Oryctolagus cuniculus: one gene and its partners. The main gene of each other region encodes a partner of the protein of the gene in region 3 in a complex. Links are inferred from orthologs where the notes say so. Each region holds a gene or a part of one and is shown on either strand. Other genes may lie near its edges. The genes, in order: SNCA, NAA25 and NAA20.

The links.
Region 1: the proteins of NAA20 (region 3) and SNCA are in contact, whole or in part, in a cryo-EM structure (PDB 7STX), measured with the Homo sapiens proteins. The link is inferred for Oryctolagus cuniculus from reciprocal best matches to the Homo sapiens genes NAA20 and SNCA. Residues at the interface, in NP_057184.1 of Homo sapiens: Leu23, Thr24, Glu25, Tyr27, His73, Val74, Thr75, Ala76, Leu77, Ser78, Leu110, Phe111, Tyr137, Tyr138, Ser139, Ala140; in NP_000336.1 of Homo sapiens: Met1, Asp2, Val3, Phe4.
Region 2: the proteins of NAA20 (region 3) and NAA25 are in contact, whole or in part, in a cryo-EM structure (PDB 7STX), measured with the Homo sapiens proteins. The link is inferred for Oryctolagus cuniculus from reciprocal best matches to the Homo sapiens genes NAA20 and NAA25. Residues at the interface, in NP_057184.1 of Homo sapiens: Thr2, Thr3, Leu4, Arg5, Thr8, Cys9, Asp10, Leu12, Phe13, Phe15, Asn16, Asn19, Leu20, Pro22, Leu23, Thr26, Tyr27, Gly28, Ile29, Pro30, Leu33, Gln34, Leu36, Ala37, His38, Pro40, Glu41, Pro49, Glu52, Met54; in NP_079229.2 of Homo sapiens: Ser226, Glu227, Ile228, Asn259, Asp261, Asp262, Trp263, Gln264, Arg318, Arg321, Leu325, Lys362, Pro363, Cys364, Thr367, Asp368, Val371, Leu457, Thr459, Glu460, Leu461, Ser504, Ala506, Leu510, Leu532, Asp533, Lys535, His536, Ile537, Gln538.

What each region holds. Positions count from the first base shown.
Region 1 is NC_091439.1:75,768,209-75,771,891, reverse strand, and holds part of SNCA (alpha-synuclein), read right to left. Parts: intron 507-3,683; coding exon 364-506; intron 1-363. UniProt on the Homo sapiens protein: Neuronal protein that plays several roles in synaptic activity such as regulation of synaptic vesicle trafficking and subsequent neurotransmitter release.
Region 2 is NC_091452.1:9,430,812-9,434,966, reverse strand, and holds the start of NAA25 (N-alpha-acetyltransferase 25, NatB auxiliary subunit), read left to right. Parts: upstream 1-1,289; 5' UTR 1,290-1,685; coding exon 1,686-1,743; intron 1,744-4,155. UniProt on the Homo sapiens protein: Non-catalytic subunit of the NatB complex which catalyzes acetylation of the N-terminal methionine residues of peptides beginning with Met-Asp, Met-Glu, Met-Asn and Met-Gln. May play a role in normal cell-cycle progression.
Region 3 is NC_091442.1:44,638,390-44,642,797, forward strand, and holds the start of NAA20 (N-alpha-acetyltransferase 20), read left to right. Parts: upstream 1-1,453; 5' UTR 1,454-1,668; coding exon 1,669-1,721; intron 1,722-4,408. UniProt on the Homo sapiens protein: Catalytic subunit of the NatB complex which catalyzes acetylation of the N-terminal methionine residues of peptides beginning with Met-Asp, Met-Glu, Met-Asn and Met-Gln. Proteins with cell cycle functions are overrepresented in the pool of NatB substrates.

The DNA of each region.
Region 1 (3,683 bases), on a different chromosome or scaffold from region 3:
ACTTTAGAGATTAGCCACAAATGATTGGCGTTTCCAACAAAGAGGCATTCCAAGATGCACAGTTAACATAAAGCATCCATTCTTTGTGAAATGTCATTGTTCCTTTTGGCATTTACCACATCGCTCATTTCATTAGTGCTCTTCCAGAAACTGAAACAGTCGTGATGACTGTACAATTTGCATGGCATTTCTCGGTGTTCATACCCTAAATACAAGCTCCATATGAAAGAAGTACTTTTTTCTGAGGAGAATCAGGCAGTACTCCCCCCACGGCAGTCATCTTGTTTCTGAGTTTCGCCTCCTTTGAGAATGAGCCATGATCTTGCGATAGTTTAAATATAACATCAAACTCACACAACATACCTTGCCTTGCTGGTCTTTTTTGACGAAGCCGGTGGCGGCTGCAATGCTCCCCGCTCCTTCCACTGTCTTCTGGGCGACTGCTGTCACACCTGTCACCACTGCCTCTCCAACATTTGTCACTTGCTCTTTGGTCTTCTCAGCCACTGGGGTGAATGAAAAGCAATAGCAGATTAAAGACAGCAGCAACTTTATAAAATTCTACTTCCACTAACAGTCAACTTCCATTCAGCCTGTATTTTTTTCTTTTTTTTTTTTAAGATTTTTTTTTTATTTGACAGATAGAGTTAGACAGTGAAGGAGAGAGACAGAGAGAAAGGTCTTCCTTCTGTTGGTTCACCCCCTAAATGGCTGCTGCACCGATTCAAAGTTAGGAGCCAGGTGCTTCTTCCTGGTCTCCCATGTGGGTGCAGAGGCCCAAGCACCTGGGTCATCCTCCACTGCCCTCCCGGGCCACAGCAGAGAGCTGGACTGGAAGAGGAGCAACCAGGACTAGAAACCGGCACCCATCTGGGATGCCAGCGCCACAGGCGGAGTATTAACCAAGTGAGCCATAGTGTAAGCCCCAGTTCAGCCTGTATTTACACAGGCTTTAGGCAATTGAAGGATCACAGGAAATAGTAGCTACCAAGATTTCTAAGTGAGAGGGATTACTCAAAATCTGCATCTTCACTGACATCTTGTTATAATCACACAGACTTTAGAAGGTGCCTCCTCTTTAATGATCACAAGTGTAGGCCCACAAGCAGCTTGGGTTTGACTTATTTTTAGGAAAGTTGCAGAAAGTAGCACTTCCAAAGTCAGATATAGTGGAATCAGACTCAGCAAGAAATTTATTTCTTTATTTCAATTTCAGGGCCGATTCTTCTATCTCAATCAGCAAGTTCATTTTCAGCAGATTGCTGAGCAACATGACACATTCTACCTACAGGTTGAGCATCCCTAATCTGAAAATTCAAAATTCTCCAAAATCTGAAACATTTGGAGTGCTAACATGATGGCACAAGGGGAAAATTCCACACCATGAGACTTTGTTTCATGTACAAAATTATTTAAAACACTGTATAAAATAGCCTCCAGGCCAGTCATATACGGTATATGTGATACTCAAATCATGTGTATAGACTTGGGTCTCATTCCCAAAATATCTTATTTGGTATATGCAAATATACCATAATTCCCCCCACCGAAACAAAAGAAATCCAAGATCCAAAACACTTCCAAACCTAACTATTTTAGATAAGGGAGACTCCAACTGTTTTTGTGCTCATACATGTTACTATCAAAATGCACAATGGCAGAGGAATGGTTAAGAAGGAATTCTGAACCTTTTATAAAATTTCAGTTTGTGAAACAGAAAGGTTCTTAATTATAAGATTGTCAGTAATTTTAATGGGAACAAAGCATCTAGATTTTAAGTTAATATGAAAATTAAGAGGCTTATTGAACATATAATTCACTTCCATAAAACAAAATATGATATAATAATTCAGTATATTTCTAAAACCAATTAAAAATTTAGAGAAGATGGTGTAAATAATGTAAATTTATAATCTAGAGATTTAATTTCTTATCAAAAACTCCCAAAGACATCCTAGAAATGTACCTGCTTGTGGAATCAAGTTTTCTATATTATTTCAATATAATTATATAAAGAAAGCCCAAATAAAATTTTAATTTCAATTAACTAAAAAGTTGTATGCAACCAAATATAAAAGATTCTATGCTGTTAATAATTCAATACAGGGGGCCGCAGCACATGGTGCAGTGGGTTAATCCTCTGCCTGCGGCACCGGCATCCCATATGGGCACCAGTTCTAGTCCCCGCTGCTTCTCTTCCAATCCAGCTCTCTGCTATGTCCTGGGAGAGCAGTGGAGGATGGCCCAAGTGCTTGGGCCCCTGCACCTGCATGGGAGACCAAGAAGAAGCAGTGCAGCTCCGGCCATTGCGGCCAGTTGGAGAGTGAACCAACGGAGGGAAGACCTTTCTCTCTGTCTCTTCCTCTCACTGTTTGTAACTCTACCTCTCAAATAAATAAATAAATAAAAATAATAATTCAATACAGAAATAAAACCATCCATTTCCATCCAACCTGCTATAACATCCATCCATGCCATGAAGCCTTTGGTCCTGCATCTCTTATTTGTCTACAGAATCTCTGCCCTCTTTCCTTCTGCTCCCACAAACTCATTCCTGTTCTGCTTTTTCCCCCAACATTCAGGAATTTGGGGTTTTGAGGGATTCATTCATTAGGCACTCCATTAAGAATAAAGCCATATTTTCATGTTTCACCATCCTTATATCCTCCTGGTGAGCCTCTCTCTGAGAAACATCTCCAAATGCTACTCGCGTGATCCTTTTCAGATCTTACACCACTAGTTTGGGGCGTCAATAATTAAACAGTGGCACAAGGCAATTTGTTTTCAAGTAGAGTGTTTGGGTCAAGAAAGCAAGGGTGGTGAGTAAGGACTCTCATCCAGGCACTGTAGGGAAGGGTGAAGCAGCCACACAGTCTAAAATCAACGAACCCACAGCAGGTGTTGTTCTCAGTCTGCCTTTTGCCCAGAATTCTGCAGGTTTGCCTAGTGACGTTGTGCCACTGAACATACTAATGTCTCTGAAGGAGTAACAGCTATTTACAATTCAAAGTTCAATTTAAATGCCAGTGAAAAGCTGTACTGGAAAATTTATGTTTTTAAACATTTCTGGAGTGTTGATCTTTTAAAAATGGTGAATTATGTATTTCAAGTTGTCATTTTTTCCTTTTTTAAGAACATGAACAGAAAGTTTTGCTTGAAATGAACATTTTCTTGTTATAAATCTCCCAGTAAGAAAAAAACAGATTTTGGTTTTTTTACAAACTCATAGTTTCTCTGCCCTTCATGAATTTTACAAAATCTAGGCAATCCTTTAGATAGAAACTTTTATCTATTATTTTAATGCATCCAAACTATACAGTAAAGTGTATTTGTTATGTAATTGCAACTCATGAGGCTTTGTGGCTGTAATGATACATAATTTAGGTATATTATAAAATGACAGCATATACAGGCGGCAATAATAGACATATGTACTAAGATTTCTTTAGGACTGACTTTGCTAGTATGTTCCCTGTTGCCTGTGAGCCTCCTTTTTATACCTTTGAGAACTTTCAGACTGTTTCCCTTTTCCCTGCTCATCAACACTCCAAAGAGGGATAAAACAAAAGCTAAGAAGACACATTCAAGTACATTTTGGATATAACAAATGGCAATTATTTTTAAGATAAAAGACTTTCTAATGAGGGTCAAAGGGAGACACTACTCCAAACCAACTGATGCTA
Region 2 (4,155 bases), on a different chromosome or scaffold from region 3:
AAATAAATAAATCTGTTTCTATTCTAAGGAAAAGAAAATGGAGATTACCGTAGTTTGTATTCCATCAGTTTGTCAGAATGAAGAGACGATGCATGTAAAAGAGATTAGCAGAGTTTGGACATAGTAGGTGGTTAGTAAATGCCCAGTATTAGTAGTTACTATTATCATTACAGGTTTTCTCTAGATATGTGTATATTTAAAATTTTAATATAGGGGCCAGCGCCGTGGCTCACTTGGTTAATCCTCCACCTGCAGCGCCAGCATCCCATATGGACACCGGGTTCTAGTCCCGGTTGCTCCTCTTCCAGTCCAGCTCTCTGCTGTGGCCTGAGAGTGCCGTGGAGGATGGCCCAAGTGCTTGGTCCCTGCACCCACATGCGAGACCAGGGAGAGGCACCTGGCTCCTGGCTTCGGATCGGCGCAGCTCCGGCAGTGGCGGCCATTTGGTGAGTGAACCAATAGGAGGACCTTTCTCTCTCTGTCTATAACTCTGTCAAATAAAAAAAAAATCAATAGCAATTGCTAACTTGCCCTTCTGCTGGGTTGTAAAGGGTTGAATCTAGAACCCTTAATTACTACTTCTCAAAGATTGAATTAGAATCTCTGTGGATAAAGCCGCAGGAAACTCATGTTTATTAAGTTTCCCGGGGTGGGGTGGGGTCTAAGAGTCTAATGTCCACTTGGAGAATCGCTTTCTTGGACATCAGGGCCCAGGAAGGGAAGAGGGGACACAGCAGAAGGGTCATCCCAGGGGACACTGGGGTTGGTCTGACACAATGCTCTGATTGTACTCGCAGAGACCTGGGCTAGCATCAGCCAACAGCGCAGTCCGAGGCGTGACACCTGCCGGGCCCCCTCTCACTTCCTGTGACTCTCCGACAACTGTCACTTTCTCAGGCTTTCTCTCACCACACTATTTCACTGTAGCTTTTCTCACCCTGTAACACACTGCGCCGAGTTATCCGTCCGTTCCTGCACAGCTCAAGCTCCAGGAAGGTTTGATCTCATTTCTCGGTGCGTCCTCCCTACCTGCCTGCAACAGTGCGCGCAGAAACCAGCCTTGGATGAACTCATTCACCCGTCAGAGGGTAGCTGACTGCACTATCTGCCCTCAGGCCCGTTATAAACATTGACAGAACCCACGGAGAGACCTGCGGCAGTGTCCAGGCACACACTGAATTATATTCACGTTGGGGGCTTCCCGGTCGGCCCGGCAGAGAGGTGGAAGGTTCTCGAACTTTCCAGCAGATTCTGCGGATCCCTCCTTCCCTGCCCCCCCCCCCCCCCCAGGAGTTCCCTGTTCCTCAACAGTTAAGCAAAGCCACGTTTGACTGGTTCTTCAGGACTGAGAATAAACAGGCCAAGCAGGGGCGGCGGAGCCCTACTTCTAACCGGGAGCTTCCTCCTTTCCGCTCCTCACGCCCCCGGAGGTGACCGGGAAGGGAACGCATTAGCCACAACCATCTCCGCTCGCCGCCTTCCCGCACCAGCAAAAAGACGGGAACCGCAGCCAAGCAAGCGGCGACCGACGGAGGGGTGGGGCCAGCTTCCCCTTCCGCGCAGGCGCATTCAGTCGCAACACCACGACTATCGCGATAGACGCGCGAGATCGACGCTGGCCCTTTAACTGCCCCTTCCCGGGGGCCTGCCCCGCGCGTGCGCACTGCGGTTCTGCGCTTGTCATCATGGCGACGCGGGGCCATGTGCAGGACCCTAACGACAGGCGCCTCCGGCCCATTTACGGTGAGTGCCTGGGGCCAGCCTGGTCGCCGGCCCGACGCTCCAAGGGCTTCTGAGGCCGGGGCGAAGGCCCAGGAGGGGTGCTGGAAGCCTGCGCGCGGGGCGGGCGGGCACCAGGGGCGGGCCGCGCGGGCCTCTAGGCCGCAGCCGCGGGCCTCGCGTAGGCGCCGGGCCGGACTTCCTGAGCCGTGAGATGGTAGCGGCGCGGCGGGGGCTACTGCTGGGCCACGGAGCCGGCCTGAGAGGCAGGCCCGGTAGGGCGCGGAATCTTGGCGCTGCCGGTCGGCCGCGTTGTGATGGCCGCTCCCAGAGAGAGACTGTAGAGATCTCGCAGGTGGAAGCCGACCCTGGCGCTGCGGGGGAGCCTAACCGTTCAAGACTTCTGTTATTTGTGGGGAACGGGTCTGGTCAGGGCTGCCTGACTGGAGGGGCTCGGATGCACACGGAGCAGCCGCGACCCAGAGACGGGAAGGGGCTGGCGCAAGGTCACCCAGACGGAGGCAGGAGCAGGCCGCAGGATTCCAGGCTCCCCATCCAGGGCTGGTTCGTGGGGAAGCAGCTGCCCGGGGCACACGTGGGAGGCTGGGGTGGGGGGAGGGGGTCACGAACCCAAAATAGCGGCGGGGAGACGGCGGTGAGCCCTGCCGGAGGGGCGGCCCGCTGCTGGGAGACGAGCTGAGCCAACCCCCTGCACCCGGCGCCTGTCTTCAACCCGCCGCCTGTCATTCTGCTACCCTGGCCGTGGAGAATTGCAGAGTTGACTACGGGAGAAATGCACTTTTTTTTTTTTCAGTAGCCGAAACTGGACAATGAAAAATGGCCCCTATTGCATTTCCCTTTCTTTCTAGTTGGTTGTGTGGTCTCGGTGAACGGTGAGAAGGCGTCTAGGTCAGTGGTTTTTGCAAAAAGTAGGCTTTGCGTCTGTAGTAGTGTGGATGTTCCTAAAGGGAGGCTTCTCCACAGGACTGAGGTGTGCGTGTGCGCGGTGGAATAGGTGGGTAGTTTTATGGTCAGGCTTTTTATTTCATCATTTTTTATTTGATAATTTGCATGATACTCTGACTTCTCGTCTGGTTCTGTGTGCAGCAGTCCTGTGAAACCAGTACTAACAGTCACTGCTGGAGTGTGTAGAGCCCTCCTGCCAGTCTGTCCTAACCTTTTATAGAGGTACCTCACTCACTCTTCCCACGTGTACCGCGCATCTGGTGAGAAGCTTACTGTTGCTGCTTGTGTTTGCAGCATTTCTCTCTCTCACACACACACACTGCCCCCCCCCCCCCCCCCATTTTGCTGATGAGGAAACTGGGACTTTTTTGATGTTACGTAATTTGTCCAAGGCCACTCAGCGTGCATTTCTTGGAGCTCGGACTTGAAGTCCTGCGTGGGTCCCAGGCTCGCCCTCTTAGCCGCTGGAGCTGCAGGTCCTGGTTGGCCTAGGCTCTCACAGGTGGTGCTGGCAGAGTGGGACCCAGATTTCCATTCCCCAGGGCTGACGCTCGCACGCTCTTGCCCTCCAGCGGGTGTTTGCAGAGGGCAGAGCTGAGACCTGCAGGATGATGGTGGAAGGTGAGAGCTGAATGCGGTGCGTGAGACTTGCCCCTTCGTGTGGCAGCTGCCTGCAGGCTCTTTCCTGCCCTCCCCTCTGTCCTTTCTTTCTTTTTTCCTTTTTTTTTTAACTAAAAAGGCTGAATACTATTAAGAATAATTAGATTTTTTTTAAATTGTTCTCAAGGACCAAAGAGAATGCCTTTGGTTCCCACAGTCATTTAGAATTAATAGCATTTTGAACTGTGCCATAAGAAACACATGTCCATTTCACATTGCCGAACATCAGGATAAGTTAACCAGAAGTGACCCGTCATATTCTGGAAAGTGAACTCAGAATTATGCAGCTTTTGTTAGGGCTACATGGGAAGAGGATTAGAAGAGGCTTTCTTCAGGAATTCTAAGGTGATTAATGTAAACCGGCAGGAACAGGAAAAGTCAGGGTACAACACTCTTTTACCACAGCACTTTTGACTCTAAAGCTTCCGAATTTTGTTGTTTAAAATACATTACTGCTACGAAACAATTATTGTTCCTTGAATTCAGACATTCACTAAGCTGACAAGCGTGCCTCACCAGCCAGAAGTTCAACTGCCAGCATTGAGTACTTACTTGTGGGATAGCTGTCCTTCTAAGTAGGTGGGATTATTGTGGTCCTGGTAGGAAACTGAAGCCTGGAGGGATTACTTTCTCAGGATCATAGCTAAGCTAGGAGGCAGACACCGACATTCCCATTGGAGAACCCAGCCTGCACCAAGTTCAGACTTAGCACTGATATCCTTTTTAAATTTTTTTTTTTTTTTAAGATTTATTTACTTGAAAGTGTTATGGAAAGAAGTAGAGAGAGAGAGAGGTCTTCCATCCGCTGGT
Region 3 (4,408 bases):
CTGACAGGCAGTAAAATTCCCTCCTTGTAGTTTGCAGTCCAGGTGCTTGGACAGACACGGGACACATGGGGTCAGGAAGCCACCCCTGCTTAATGTATCTCCCCTCTACCTCCCTTCCCACCCCTGCATCGGTCTCCGTGTGCTCCCCTAACCCAGCCCCAGGCCATCACCCTTCTGTTTTCTCTCCCTGTAACTCTGCCTTTTCCAGACAGTCCTATGCCTGAAATATGGCGCCCAAGCTTCTGACGCTACTTACCCAGGACTGTATGGGTTTTTGTGTGAACGTAGCTTTCTCTTCTCTGGGATAAATGCCCAGGAGTGAGACTTGACTGGTAGTTCCATGTTCAGTTTGTACAGAAAGCCACCAGCGAGACTGCTGCTGTGGTGCATCAGGGAAATCTGCCACCGGAGATGCCAGCATGGGCACTGGTTTGAGTCCTGGCTGCTCCACTTCTGATCCAGCTCCCTGCTAATGTGCCTCAGAAAGCAGTGGAGGAAGGCCCAAGTGCTTGAGCCCCTGCACCCGGAAGACCCGGAAGAAACTCCTGGCTTCAGATGAACCCACCCAGCCCCAGCCATTGCAGCCTTTTGAAGGAGTGAACCAGTGGATGGAAGATCTCTCTCTCTGTCTCTCCCTCTCTCTGGAGCTCTACCTCTCAAATAAATAAATAATCTTTGGGCCGGCACTGTAGCATAGCCAGTAAAGCTGCTGCCTGCAGTGCCAGCATCCCTGATGGGTGCTGGTTTGAGTCCCAGCTGCTCCACTTCCAATCCGGCTCTCTGCTATGGCCTGGGAAAACAGTAGAAGATGGCCCAAGTCCTTGGGCCCTTGCACCCACACGGGAGACCCAGAGGAAGCTCCTGGCTCCTGGCTTCTGATCAGCACAGCTCTGGCCGTTGTGACCATCTGGGGAGTGAACCATTGGATAGAAGATCTCTCTCTCTGCCTCTCGGAAACTCTGCCTTTCAAATAAATAAATAAATATTTTTAAAAGCCTCTTTTTAAACGTGTGGCAGGCAGTGGTCACGTTTGTGCTACCTGTGGACCTGAACTTGGGGCTCTCCGGGACTATTGCTACACCTGATTTATGCTCATGCATTGTTGGGGTTGGAAACCACACCTAGAACTCAGCTTGGGCCTCGGAAGGTCCTTGTGATTGGGGGTGGGGAGGCTCCTTTTTCTCAACCACCTGGGTTCTCATCCTCCTGTTAAGCCTGTGCCTCCTGTCTGGTTAGTAAGTTGGCCCCACGTGGTGCAGCTTGGGACCCAGGGGAGTTGGAGACCTGCGTGTCTTGCAGTGCCGGTTTCACCTGGATGAGTTATTTGATTTCTGTCCGCCAAGACCACTCCACTGGTTATCTAGAGAGAGGGTGAGGGAAAAGAATCTTCCAAGCAGGTGGCTCTGCTTCCGTCTGAGTCTCTACACCTGTGTTGCCTATACTGTTAGCCATGACCCGCTGCCCGCGACGTTAAAGGAATGTCCCGGTAATACCAGACGTCGGCCGCCAGAGAGCGCTGTGTCTTCGCAGTGTGGCTGAGAGACTCGTGACCCGGAAGCAGTTCCCCTCCGTTGACCCGCCGTGGCCGTGCGCGGGGTGCTTTCCGGTGGAGTGGGCGCAGGGTCGAAGCGAGCCGGTTTCGGCAGGAGTTGGGGTGGCGGCGGCGACATGACCACGCTCCGGGCTTTCACCTGCGACGACCTCTTCCGCTTCAACAACATGTGAGTGCGGCGCGTCCTGGGCCGCCCGCTGCTGGCCGGGCGCAGCCCCGGGGGCCGCGGTGTCGGAGGCCGGGTGGGCCCGGGGCTGCGATCTTGGCCGAGGCCCCGGGCGCTGCGTGCTCTGGGGGCGCGGCTGCGGGGCGCCCGCCGCTAGCTGGCTCGTGGAGGGCCCGGGTCGCGAGCGAGGCAGCTCTGGGGCCGTGGGAGCCTGCGGGCTGGGTGCCCGGGCGGCCGCCGCTCGCGCCCGGCTGCTGTGGCTACGCAGCCCGGAGCGGCGGCCTCGTCCCCCTTCTCTCCTGTACAGCCCGATGAGCGGGCATTTGCGCGGGGTGCGGAGACCAGGCAGGCCCCGTGACTCGCAGGCACTGTTTATTTTGGAGTTGTCCGGGCAGTTGGGAAAGTTGACTTTATTGTCCCATTTCGCCGTCCTGGCCCCCGTGCCGTGTCTGACTTGCGGGGCAGCAGGTCCCGGGTCAAGGGGACTTGGGGACGAGGTAGCCAGGAGCAGCGCCGAAGGGCGGAGGCGGTGCGTGCGGGGAGAGGTGCGCGGTCGGTGCGAATGCGGGTGTGGTTCCTGGGACAGAGCAGCCCGGGAGAGCAGGGTGACACGGCTCGGCCCTATGGTCAAGAGGCTTCCACTCGGCCTTGCGGGGAGACTCCTTTGTAAGCCCTGACCGGGGCCCAGCCCAGGAGGCTCGCATTGCGCGCTCGCCGCCCCTGCACCTGTTATGAGTGCTCCGGTGATAACCCGTTTAAGTCCCGCTACCCTGAGACGTGCTGTCTGTCATCGCATTCTGTGAATGAGTGAACCCCGGCGTGCAGGTGAGCCGGCCCTGAGATGGGAGTGGGTGGAGTCAGCAATTAATCCTGGTAGCCTTTTTTTTTTTTTTTTTTAAAGAATCACAAAGTCAGAATACTGTTTTAAAAAGATTATTGGGGGCTGGCGCCTTGGTGTACGTAGTAGGTTAAGCATCCTGTGGCGCCGGCATCCCCTATGGGCACTGGTTTGAGACCCAGCTGCTCCATTTCCGATCCAGCTCTCTGCTATGGCCTGGGAAAGCAGTAGAAGATGGCCCAAGTCCTTGGGCCCCTACACCCACGTGGGAGACCTGGAAGAAGTTCCTGGCTTCGCCATTGTGGCCATTTGGGGAGGCAACCAGGGGATGGAAGACCTCCCTCTCTCTCTGACTCTTCCTCTCTATCTGTAACTCTGCCTCTCAAATAAAAAAATAAACCTTTAAAAAAATCTATTCACTTATTTGAAAGGCAGAGTTAGAGGGAGAGACAGAGAGTGCTATCTTCCATCTGCCAGGTGCACTAGCAGGGAGCTGGATCAGAAGCGAAGCAGCTGGGTTTAAGTGGCTGCACCACAAAATCAAAGTGTTTATTGTATTCTTTCGGTTGCAACATTGTTAAGCATTCCTGCTACAGCAGTACTGGTCTGCAGGAGCTTACCAGCCGTAACAGTCAGCGGGAATCACACACCCAGTGATGAAGGCATCCGATCAAAGGGGCAGGTGGTTCTTAAAGAGTTGGTCCCTGGTCACAAGGGATATTTTGGAACTGCAAATGCTTGGCTGAGAACTGCGGCTTTGGGGGCTAACTTCATTCCCAGCAGCAGCTCTGTGACTGTGAGCGGAGCAGAGGAGTTGGCCCGGGCAGCAGCGCACAGGTGGTGGCCTGAAAAGAGCTTGTGTTTGGGAGGGGCAGCCTGGGAGCGAGCGGACAGGGTGCAGCTTGGCGCTGCGGGAAGGGGTGGAAGGGTGTGACGTGACACAGGTAACGTGGAAGGAAACCACAGCAGAGCCCAACGTGGGGCTTCCGAGATCATTCTCTTTGTTCAGGTCTCCGTCATAGGCCCGCGGGAGACCCTCACTTCCTCCCCGCTGGCTCCTGTTGCGTGGATTAGGGCATTGTGGTGGGAAACTCAGAGTCACTGAAATTAGTGTCCGAGGAAGACTTGAAGCAGCGCCTGTAGAACGCTGCAGTTCACCTAACAAACACGGACTTTGGGGAAAGTATTTGAGTGCCTACTGTCGGCCAGTATAGAGATGCAGTGAACAAAACAGAAGAACACTGGTGTCTCTATGGAACATGCATTTTAGAAGGGAAGCAGTAAATACAACATGTAGAACGTAGTGTTGCGCAGAGAGAAGAAGGGACCCTGGAAGGGAGTGGGCATTGAGCTTTGCACTGGGTGTCCAGGGAAGGCGTCAATGCAGACGGACCAGAAGGAGTGGGTGAGTCCCGTGCACGCAGGGGCAGGGGAGCTGTACGGGCAGCAGTGACCTGCGTGGCTGCAGTGGACTGTGGGCATGTGAGGGGACACCCAGGAGGAGGGGTCAAGTTTAGGCCTGGACTAGAGAGAGAATTGGGGGATGGGAGGTCGTGACTACCTAGGTGACTGGGAAGCTGGGTGATGTCCATGATGGAGCGTGGCTCCCTTGGCCATCCAGGATCGCAGTGTGGCCCACAGGTGAGGTGGGATGTGGGGGGCTGAGTGACGAGAGCGTTTCAGGTGGCGTGGGGGGGGGGGGTGTGCTCCACGCTGCTGCTGCTGTGTGCGTCGTGTTTACACACTTCTAGGAAAGGGACATTGAAGATGCAGGAGCAGCAAGCACACGAACTGCTCGAGAATCCAGCTGTCTTCCGGACTTGACAAATTGTTAAAAACCAAAATTGTTAAA